Linked DNA regions of Arabidopsis thaliana. The protein of the gene in region 2 interacts with the protein of the main gene of each other region in a biochemical or structural test. Each region holds a gene or a part of one and is shown on either strand. Other genes may lie near its edges.

Region 1 (5,116 bases), on a different chromosome or scaffold from region 2:
GTTTAAATGTCATCGTTGATCAGCTTGGAGGAGAGCGTTTTCATCGAACGATGGCTATCAATGTTCAAGAAAGCATTAGACAGTAAGACCATCTACGTTCATAAAGAGTTTATGGATATTTAAAGTTTAACTACAGAAAGACACTTCCTTTTTTTGGATGTCTAAAGTGTTTTATTTTTAGTTTTAAACTCAAATTTAATTTTAAAATAGAAAATACATTAAATCGAAACTTATACTATTTTAGGCGTTGAATCAGTGATCTAACCATAACTTGACAGCATAACGTCTAGACGGAGCCAATACAACCGCCTAAACCGCTTTTAAATAAAACATAAATGCTTAAGTTGTTCCTCGTATTTATCCCAAATTAAAAAAAAAACGTTTTTCTATCATGGGAACAAGATCTAACGTCGAAGTCCATTAGTAATTAATCTTCAGAATGTATAAATACTTCATATGTTTACCTTTCAAGGATTTAATAATTAAGGTTTGATCCTAGGATTCGATCTTACACATGTGTTTCTTCATACGTGAGCCCATAAACTTAAAACCAAAATATTGCTCTACTTTTCTAGCTTATGTATTGAATGCAAACTCTTTAGTTTGATATATAATGATCGACTTGGATATTATCAGTACTTTAGTAGCAACACAAAAAAGTGTATTATGGAACCCAAAAGTAAAACAGCAGATTCTTCCCACTGCCTGATTTTTGCATCGAAAAGAAATGAATACACGTAAAGTATAAATATAACACTTCATTTCATGTAGATTAATATAATTATCGCATCACACACTATATAAGTAAAACACTCTCATTTTCCTCCCCCTCTCATTTTTATTACACACTTATATATTGAACTACTATAGGCATCATCACCGTTCGTTACTCGTATCATAAAATGGTTATTAAATTAAAATACTATAGATGCATAAATCTCATCAGAGTATGCAATATCAATTGGTTATAAAGGAAGAAGCCATCTAAAGTCTTCTTCCTCCGCAGCCACTCTCCCTCTGACAATTGTAGAAAACTGCGGCCACGGGAAGGCCGAGATTGTAGATCTCAGCAAACTCGCGAGTGTTGAAGTTCTGGCGCCACCCTGGTGCATACACTGTTTGCCTGCCAAGCTGTCGAAACAATATAAACACGACACGATGAATTCCTGCAGTGGGACTTGGATTTTCGTAACACACAATCTCATTGCCTGAAAAATAAAAAGTTCATCAAAACATGTGAATTTTCTAGCTAGTAACTAATTAATTAGGCTATTTCATATACCTTTCTATATTTCTAACACCTAGCGATCTAATATATAGAATAAAACTCACCAAAGGTTGTTCCAGTTGTAGCAGGGATATCAGTCACCAACCTGTAATGAGAGATAGCCATACACATGTTTAAGCTATGGCACCACAACATAATTGAAATGCTACTTCTTTTTTTGACAGAATTGAAATGCTACTTAAACTTTATTTTCTTACAAAAAAATAATAGCAACGTAACTAATTCCTAGATTACTAGTGCAAGTGACTAGCAAAACATGCAATAACATTCAAGTGCATGAATATATAAATAAAAATAAAAAGTGATATAACAGGAAACCTAGTCCTGCTCACTTCAAGGAACAATGATGATGTCATCAGGCTATTTTAAGCTCAATGATATTCCCGTACAAAGACCACTTTAAAGTGAAAAAAACAAATCTTAGTTCAAGTCACGTCCTATACATTCTATAGAATCTATGTGCGATCAGTAAAATACACAGACATACATAATACATATTTACATTACACATAGTAAAGTTTTTGAACAAAATATGTCAATTTAGCTTGGGTGTGGGCTTTTTTGGGAGACAAATTGATGCATCGCACTCTCGAAGTTGATTTTATATGTCTCCTTCTATTAAATGTAAAATGTTTGAGTCTTAAGTTATAAGTGATCTACTCAATTTCAAAGTATCCAAAATACATGTCCAGTTTTACATGTGTAGTTGAGTGTCTATATATATAATTCGAGCAACATGTTTGAGCTATGCTATAACTTAAAAGTGAATTAATTAAAGAGTTGAGTTAGTGCACAAACCAATGGAGATATTCTCGGAGGTGAGGGTTGCTAGGACTTGGAACATCTGGATCCACCATAACCTTCATTAAACAAATAAGACGAAGAATTATAAGAAGATAAGATTATCATTTTCAAAGAAATCAAGAAAGCAAAAGGTCTTTTTTTCTTTTTCTTTTTTGAAGTTTGGAAAATGAGATAACACAAGAAAGAAGAAGAAAACTATGAATAGAAAAAAGGTAGTAGCTACATGTCTATATATAGCAGAGAGTATCTTAAAGGCTGGCTTGAATATCAGAATATCCTTATTCAAACAGTTTTCAAATATTCCACAACAGAGATTCATCAATATATATATTTGTTTTAATGAACATCAATTTTCTATATCTTTTTGCAGATATTTTAATTAGCAAAAAGGATATTTCAAAAATGCCATTTTCAAAGTATAGTAAAAAATTATACTTAAAAAAAAACAAAAAAAAACAAATGCAAATTAAATTATTAGGTAGGAGGAACAAAGAAAAATCCCAAGATTCTTATCCTAAATAATAATCACTTATGCAAGAAGTTGGTGGAAAAAATTTGGGATAGATCATAAATTTATCTCTATTTAATTTAGGATAGGAAGAAATATTTTATGGGTCCATCTTCATGAAAAAAGAAATGAAATATAAATTAGTTTTTGATTTGGGTATCATAAAGTAAAACCAAATAAATCATAAAAAAACAGAGAAAAGGAAAGCGTGGGGCATTTTTAACCAAGGTCTCTGCATGCCCAAGAAATATTTTCAGTATACCCCAAAAAAGGAAAATAATTTCTATTTTAAAAAAGAAGGTGTAAGAAGCACTGAAGAAACTAAAGAAGAAAAGAGACAAAAGGGAGTTCAAGTGAAAGAACCAAAGTATAGAAGTTCCTGAGGTCTTCTCCACCAATCTCAACTCTTGGCTTGTTTTGAACCTGAGAAGGCCTTAGATCCAAGCCATTAGTCACCTCTCTTTGGCCATAAGTAACCTTTAGAGTGATTGATCTATTAAACGGATCAAGAACGTCTCCAACAACTCTGCTTACTATAAGAGGGTCTCTTATATTTATAGACATCTTTGATCTTGAACAAACAGGTGGTTTCTCTGTGTTGATTGTTTCTGTTTTACTTGTTTTTGTTTCTGCTTCTTTAATTTGTATCATAGGCATGAACCCTCTACACATATTTATACTGTTTCGGATTTGCATTAACTCGGGTCGGTGAAATCATAACCACAATCTTTTTCTTGTCTATTGATGTACTAGAATCTAAAACTGATTCTACGTACATCACACATTGTCGTCTTATTTCATATTTTTCTTTCTTTTTATTTCTGTTTGTGGTATTCCAAACCCACCACACTAATACACTGGAAATATTCCAAATTATATCTCCCACTTGGTAGCCACTAATTTTTGATTTATTTCCTTTAACAAGATACCTCTCTCGACTAAATATTATTTACTTTTATACAAAGATATTAATTATGATAATGAGTAATCAGTAGTTTCATATATATTTAGTTTTGCCATATATTAACATAATTTATCATAACAAAGTAAGATTATTAATAAAAATAAGAAAAAAGTAGGGTACCGCCAAGTTTATAGAGAAAAAAAAATTACAGTATCACTTGTTATGTTTTTAAAACTATTATTTAGAGATATAAAGAAAAAAAAAATTCTTAAAAAATTCGAAAGCGAAAACGTTCTAAAAGAAAAAAACTAAAAAAAAAGTTGAGATAGAAATCATAGAAGAAATGATATATTTTATAAAACAGCCTTTTCTTGTAGTTATACCAGGTAGAACAAGGGATCCTTCAGGTTAGATAGAACCAGGACATTTGAGAATAGTCACCTATTTTTCTAGCCGCTTGTGTTATATGGTCGACAAACAAATCTCAAACATGTAGAATGAAGGCAGTTATTTTCATCGTCCATACCTACCAATGTCCGAACTCAAATACGCAAAATTATCTCAAAATGAATTAAGTACAAGATATCTGCAATTAAATAATATAAACCAAATCAATTGTTTTATTTCTCTTCTTTTTTTATAAACAAGCGGCCATATTATGGAAAAGTGAGTTTTATAATTGAGATAGTATCTAGTGTCTTGAAACAATTATATCATACGGTAATCTATCTATACATATAATATTAACTATTAAAAATCTAAAGCAAAATAATGATTACTTTTTAAAATTAGACATTAGTTTGGTTGTAAAAATACTAACCATCCATTTGCACGACCAGGATAATTGGTATATATACTTATGCGTCTATAAATAGGTATGGATTTGCTAATTTGAGAGATTTTCTTTTTGACATTGCATCAACATATATAGATGTAACTACCATTACCACTAATTAGAGCATTTCTTAAGTTCAAAGATGAAACTTATAACCATAGCCTAACAACTGTAGGAATTATTCTTTCTTTTTCTTTTAATTGGTAATTAAATAATTAGCGATAGGTTCTACTGTCCAAACTGGAAAATAAAGGAATTATTCAGTGATGTAGTTTTTTGTAACATCTCAGTAATGTATTCATATTGAACTTTATCTTATCATTTCAGACTTCAGCCACTGTTCTACACGTCCATAGGTTAACTTCATCTTAGGTTGAAATCCAAAATATTTGGTAACCTTCATAGAAATTTCAGATTTGTTTACTAAAAAAGACGTCTACGATCGACCATTGATAATCGAAATCGCAATTAAAAAAAACTCGAAATCTGCTATATGCACTTTTTAACGACTAGCATTTATTTTCTACTAATTTTAGTTACACACAAAAAAATGTATGCATTTTTAAATATTGGACAGGAGAGCTCAGTACTATAAGAATTGTTAGTAAATTTTGTCATTCAATCATGTTAGTGTTCATACGAAACAAAAGATGTGATGTAGAAAAAAATAGGTCGCAGTCGCAGACAAGATTAATTGTTCGCTAAAATGAGATAGATGGATTGTCCGCCACTTGTGTATATCATTTTTCATTTGTTCAGAAAAACAAAAGTGTATCT
Region 2 (6,743 bases):
TCCATCATGTATACGTCGAGCCATTTCAATGGCTGCAAAATTGGAAGCTGAGGTACGTGCAAGAGAGAGAAATACACGCATGGGAGAACCAGAAGGACATGAAGAACCGAGAGGCGCAGAAGAATCTATTTCGGCTCTAGGTGACTTGTTTGCAGACCTGAAATTTGCTCTCTCTGAAGAGGACCCTTGGAAAGCATTCGAGTTTTTAAAGCATGCTTGGAAGATTGCTGGCAAAATCAGACTAAAACCAACTTGTTCATTTTGATTTAATCTTAACATTATAGCAACTGCAAGGTCTTGATCATCTGTTAGTTGCGTACTAACTTATGTGTATTAGTATAACAAGAAAAGAGAATTAGAGAGATGGATTCTAATCCGGTGTTGCAGTACATCTTTTCTCCACCCGCAACCCTGTTTCTTTTCAGCTTGATTTCTAGTAGTTATTAGAATTCTGGAATGCATTTTTCACCTGATATAGTGAAGCATGATCTCCATCAATGTTGAATACGAAATATATTGTTCTAACTCTCTATTAATTCTGGTTTGTAACAATTTGAGAGTTTCAGAAAAGGAAAGAAGAAAGGAAGCAAGAAATATCCAGCAAACAGATCAACAAACGCATAAAAAAGTTAATCCAGAAGAGTCTTGGTTGGAAAAGCAAACTAGGGCACAAGCCAATGTCGAATTTCTTGCGGAACAACGGAAACTGGAGCTGCTGATGGTTACGTCTGTAAATCTAACGCGGATTTGATCTTGACAATAGTATGAGCCATGAGTGTCTCGACACTTTTGACAGTACCTTGAATGAGTGCAGCAGTTGGATTGATGCCCACCAAGATCTGAAGTCCAAATGTCAGTAGACATCCTCCACCAGTATTGCCTCTATGATATGACCCATTTACTCCATCTGGCACTATCGAAAATCCCGAAGGAAGAAACTTCACAGAATCTGAATTTTCACCTCTCTTGACCAGCTCAATAGAATTGGTTTCCACTGGTGCATACACCACCATTGCACCTGATGCATCATTCCAAATCTCTTGCAGAACCAGCATACCATTATTCTGTTTGCATTGCAAAACTCACGAAAATCAATGGAAACATAGACAAAACGACACTCATTAAACCAAAAATAAATGTTTTGAAACTCACAACGATTTTCAGAAGAGAGATGATGTTTCCATGGCGTTTTGCTTTTTGAATCCGGATTGTTTCTTCCATGGTAGTATCATTGGTCAAGATATCCCACTCGTGTCTGAAACTCAGGTGGCTAATGAAAGCAAAGAGTGTATGCTGGTTCACTGGGAGCCAAACAGAAGTGGATGCACTCAGCACAATCCCAGTTAGCTCACCAGGCTCATTCACGTTCTTTCGGATCATGAAACTCATGTTTTGTGCCACATTCTCCACCTGAATTTTCTGCCACTTGTCCACCGAAGGACTCGTAATACCTCTGTAGTAGTTGAGAGTCATTCGCTGTGCTAGCTTCACTATTTCAGTTGCACCTTTTGCAGACAATCCTATATCGAAAACATATATCACAATCAAGGCCTGTCCAAATTTAGTGGAGAACCGAAAATGACCTAAAAAGTAGTTGTAATGAGATTTATTCTATAATTTAAATAGCTTTCACCTGGACTAATTTCAGTCAAGTTGGTAGATGAAAGGGTCGAGAGGCTTTCGCAGTGTCTCTGCAGCGTCGCGAGCCATCTCTTTGCACCTAGCCCGATCCCATAGCCAATCAAAGGCTGGTAGAGTTGGTGGATGTGACTCTCATTATATTCCGCTTGTTCAATCCATGTAACCTGTGAAATCAAATCTCTATGTGTTATACATGTGGTGAATATAATAATAACCATTAACCATTTATTTATGTCTCCACAGTACAAGATGCTCTGATAGATCATTAATTATGATTGCGAGTAATAACAAGTGAACCAACATATATTGTTCAAAGAACAGGATTCAGAAGTAACCTGGGAGTACCCATTGGACAGGTCGTCTATGATAAGGCCTGAGGGTAGCCTCTTAGAACAACCATAGGGCAGCAAAGTCGGATTTTGAGTAGGAGTAACGTCGACGACCACCCATAAGCCCTGTCTGATCTCTTTGCAGTATCTAATAAACGTTACTTTTCTCTTTGGTACCAGCGGAGAAATTACTTGAAATTCTGCTTGAATCTGCCAAAATTATATGATCACAAATTTGAAATGTTTCTACTTCTCTTGGATTATCAACCAATATAGACGACTCAGAAAACTATATATATTATACCTGTTGGAGTGAGCCACTTTTGGTTCCACCAGAACCGGTAGATAGCACTTTATGGGTTGATGCCACAGGGACTATAGGTGCAAACACGTTGACCCATTTGCCCTGTTTAAAAAAAAAAAAAAAAAACTTGTTAACATTTCATGTAACAACATTTCACTAAAAAATGGGTGGTGGTTTAAAGGTTATTACTGTGTCCATAAGAGTCTTGACCAGAGTCACGCAAGTCATGGGAACTAAACCTTTAGCTCTTGAAGCCTCCACAATTTGCCCGGGAGGTTTTGTGACATTGTTGAAAGAACTTCTATACTTCTCATAGATCTTTGATACTCCTTTGGATCTAACGATTGGATCTATCATCCAAAATGGACAGTCCACTTCTCCCAATGTAATCAACTCTCTCAAAGCCGTAATGGCAAGATTCAGAAAAATTGATGTCTCCTTCTCAGACGTCCTAGTTCCACCACTAAAATCAAGTACTGGTGTTGCATTTATTCCTGGATTAGAGGAAGAAGAAGGCGCCTGTTCGGATGTACTGACCATCCTTTGTTTGGGATGAGAAAGGTATCTGGAATTGAACTGGTCTATCTCCCGCTCCAAGTTAGCATTCTCAGCCATAAGTTTTTGCACCTCATATTCAGTGTCTCCACAATTAGTTGCCTTACCACAAATGTTGCATAAACTACGTAGCATTGCGCTTCTAAGCTGATCCTGAGTTGCTAGCAATCTGTCATGCTCTTCTCTAAGAGTTACATTCTCAAGGTGGTCATTATTGATCTGCTTACCCAAAAAACCACACTCAATAATTATACCATAATCAAGGCAGATTTTGAGGATGAGAGAGAGAGGTGGTAAACTATATACAGTATTTGTTTTTAACATAGGGCAGAAACATGGTCCATAATACGGTACGTGCAAAGAATAAGAAAAGACACAGCCACATGCATGTATACACTTCTGTATTTTTTGGTACCTTCTCGAGATTTCTTTTATTCTGGAACCAATTCTTGACTTGATTGACACCCATATTAAGCCTTTGTCCAAGCTCGTACCTCTGTTCTTCAGTGGGATGAGGATTTTCCATGTAGAAACTACACTCATTTTAAAGTAAAGAGCAAAGTAAAGAGAAACATTCCAAACTCAAAATAAAAAAATAAAAAAAATAATAGGAAATGTTGCATGATGATGAAATGAAGAAGAAAGTGAACAAACTTTTCAAGTTCTTGAGTTTGATAAGCAGTGCGCCTATGGGTTCTTCTCATCCTTCCACCATCTTGATCATTAACACCAGACATATCATTAATCATATCAATCTCATCGCCTTCAGCTTCACCTGGTTTTGGAATGTTTCCAACCGCATCCAAATCACCTTGTCCATTCATTTTCCCTCAATGCAATAACCTGGACATTGCATACTATTAGTACTCGATATAGAGGTTTAGCTCCCTGGACATATAGTGAGTGTGATCAAATTAATACACGTATAAACTTTATATTAACCACCAAACAAAAAAGACTTAAAAAGTTTTTTCTTTTTGGTTTTAATGCTGAAGATTTTATCGATAAATTATGCCCCAAAAACACAATGTTAAGATTTACTACCAACCTAAGATTATTTACTATTTCATTCCAAAGTTTGACAATTGCAACAACTCAAAAGAGACAAAGCCAATCTAAACTGAAAAATAACAAAAAACAATCTGCTTTATACTGGAAAAGAAATACAACCAGAATAAAATTCAAGTAGAGAATGAACCAGTAAATGGTTCTTTTTGGAAGAAGAGAATTAAATTAACATTTCTAGTGTCTCGACAACGAACAAGACAAAAGAACTCAAAAATTTGGGATACCCATTGTAGAGTTAACACAATATTTTTCAAAGTACTTTACACATAAGCGAAAAACAGACAAATCGGGAACCAAAATCATTCTCTAAACAAAATGTAAAAAAATCTGATTTTTGGCTGAAAAAAACAACAAAAATCTGATTGTCAGTATCCTACAAATCGATAAATCGTAAGAAGAAAACATAAAAATAATATTAAAGTTGTGTGCTAAAAGCAACCTTAAACAACCAAATAGCACTTCGACCAATGTCGAAAAGCAAAAACCGTAAAGCGGTGCTCGTATGAATGTTGAATGGGATAAAGAGCGGCGCAAGATCTGATATTTGGCTGGAAAAAACAACAATAATCTGATTGTCAGTATCCCACAAATCGATAAATCGTAAGAAGAAAAACATAAAAATAATATTAAAGTTGTGTGCTAAAAGCAACCTTAAACAACCAAATAGCACTTGGACCAATGGCGAAAAGCAAAAACCCTAGAGCGGCGCTCGTATGAATGTTGAATGGGATAAGGTATATATGAGATTCTCGACGGAAAGATGTATGGGCTTCGATAAAGAATATATGAGATTCTCGACGGAAAGATGTATGGGCTTCGGCCCATAACTCTTTGATATTAGTATAGAACCATAACAAAAGAAAAAAAAAAAACCTTAAACAAGTAAACACTAAACCCAATTGATTCTTTACTAAATTTAGTAATCAATGGTTATTGTGAAATGAAATTTAACTTTTCTTTCATATGAAAAAAAAAATTGAAACCATCCATGGATGGCCTAGTTTTATTTAGATAACTAAATATCTATGTTTTGAAATAGTAATCTATTACATGACACAAGAACGAAGATTAACTAAATCGAGAAAGAAAAAAAAGTGTAGATTTGGTAGACGCTGAATATATAAAAAAACTAAAGTGATAAAACAAATTGTCTTTTTAAAAAAGTATGGAATTTTCAAATTTCCCATTCTTTCGGTATATGATGAGAACCTTCACATGGATTTTATTTTTAACAACAAAAATCAATGTTGAAAAGTGTATGTACCTATGAAACAAAATCAGGGTCTTAACTAGTTTTTTGTTTTGGTTTTGGTTTTAATCTTTTCTAGTTGCTTTGCCTTATTTATAAGCGCAGATGAGGAAGAGAAAGGCGAAGGCACATCAGCTGCATGGGACGTTGCTGAAGCTGTGGCGCTCTCATTGTGTGATATCTTCAATCTCTGTTAATAGCTTTGTAATGGTGGTAACAATCCAAAAATACCCAATTACAATCTTATAAGTACCAATCATCATCCATCCTATGGTTTTTCTTTTTTAAACAAAATCCGATATAAAATTAATAAAAATCTATTGTATTAACACTAAAGGTCTATTTACGAAAATTTATAGTTACAATGATATGAAATGATAGAAAAAATGAAAGATTATAAAATTGTATTGACCGAAAAAAGAAGTTTAATATATATATATATATATAGGGATACTCATTAGAAAATCTATATGCTTAGTGAAAAATGACTCCTTCCCATAATATTAAAAACAGATAAACGAAATTGTTAACTAAATTTATTCAACAATAATAAACTTTTAACAATGACAGGTCACACTTTAAATGGAAATATGCATTGATAGACTTTCTCGGTTGAAGTTGTAACTCTAGATTTATTTTTGTAGAATTTAAAGATGTATTTTGTTCCTTTTGTTGTGAGCTATGAAATTAATACCTTATAATTGTAGGTTTTAGGAAGCGGTTGATGTATAGCATGTGCAGAGTAAGCTCGAAATGGCTGAGACGAAAAAAAGTGTCGCCACAATGATTTACTTTTTACTACTATACTTTTGATCATTGGGACCTAATGGATGAATGTTGTGTGTTGTGGACGAGTTTATGACACATAACAATATTGTAGACAAATTGTCTAATTTGAGTAGAGATACTAAAATTTATCTCCATATAATTGTATACTGTATATGTATAACAAATAATTCAATTCATTGGCCTAAGATGTTTTATTGTATCTTTGTAGAATTTTACACTTTAGAGAAAAATCATTGCAATAACTCGATGAAAAAAAATGTTTATCTTATCCTAGTTACAACTAACTATCTATCTATCTCTTTGTGGTAGGAGATTTGCATCTGATCGAACGATTCATATGGTGCCACGTAACTATGGTCCCACTTCTATTACGAGATCTACTAAGACATCAGCACGTGTCGGTGTCGTTTGATCCACGAGGTCGGTGACGCTTAGAGCTAGTTGACCGGTACAGTCGGTTATTACCGGTTATACTATATGTATGTTTTTTGGTCAAAGATTTGGAGCTATTTTATAGTTAATAAATCAAGAGTTTTTTTTTTCCACAACTAGGTCTTAATTTGTGATTGTTTTTTTCTTCCATTTTTCCAAAATTCTCTTATCAATTTCAGGTTAGTATTTTTGTTACTGTCCCTAGCTTTTGACTATTGTACTACTGTATACCCTTTTTTTTTGGCTTGAGAAATTAGATTTTGTTATGTTTGCGTAAAATATTTGTGAACTCAAAAATAAAATCTCTTTTTTTTTCATTGCCGATATTTTTTCTTCCATGAATGCTGCTGTAAAGTATTAATTTCCCTCTCTACTG

What was found.
Region 1: the proteins of FWA (region 2) and FT form a complex in vitro, tested with the Arabidopsis thaliana proteins (one study listed by BioGRID).

Annotation. Positions count from the first base shown.
Region 1 is NC_003070.9:24,329,558-24,334,673, reverse strand, and holds FT (PEBP (phosphatidylethanolamine-binding protein) family protein), read right to left. Parts: upstream 3,302-5,116; 5' UTR 3,297-3,301; coding exon 2,964-3,296; intron 2,149-2,963; coding exon 2,087-2,148; intron 1,374-2,086; coding exon 1,333-1,373; intron 1,209-1,332; coding exon 985-1,208; 3' UTR 675-984; downstream 1-674. UniProt on the Arabidopsis thaliana protein: Component of the mobile flower-promoting signal (floral stimulus or florigen). Promotes the transition from vegetative growth to flowering. Required for 'SEPALLATA3' (SEP3) and 'FRUITFULL' (FUL) accumulation in mature rosette leaves.
Region 2 is NC_003075.7:13,036,222-13,042,964, reverse strand, and holds FWA (FLOWERING WAGENINGEN), read right to left. Parts: upstream 4,606-6,743; 5' UTR 4,548-4,605; intron 4,446-4,547; 5' UTR 4,337-4,445; intron 3,673-4,336; 5' UTR 3,654-3,672; coding exon 3,484-3,653; intron 3,363-3,483; coding exon 3,245-3,362; intron 3,049-3,244; coding exon 2,464-3,048; intron 2,377-2,463; coding exon 2,275-2,376; intron 2,181-2,274; coding exon 1,977-2,180; intron 1,806-1,976; coding exon 1,634-1,805; intron 1,521-1,633; coding exon 1,153-1,520; intron 1,065-1,152; coding exon 723-1,064; 3' UTR 501-722; downstream 1-500. Other genes in the region: homolog of DNA mismatch repair protein MSH3, read left to right, coding at 1-265.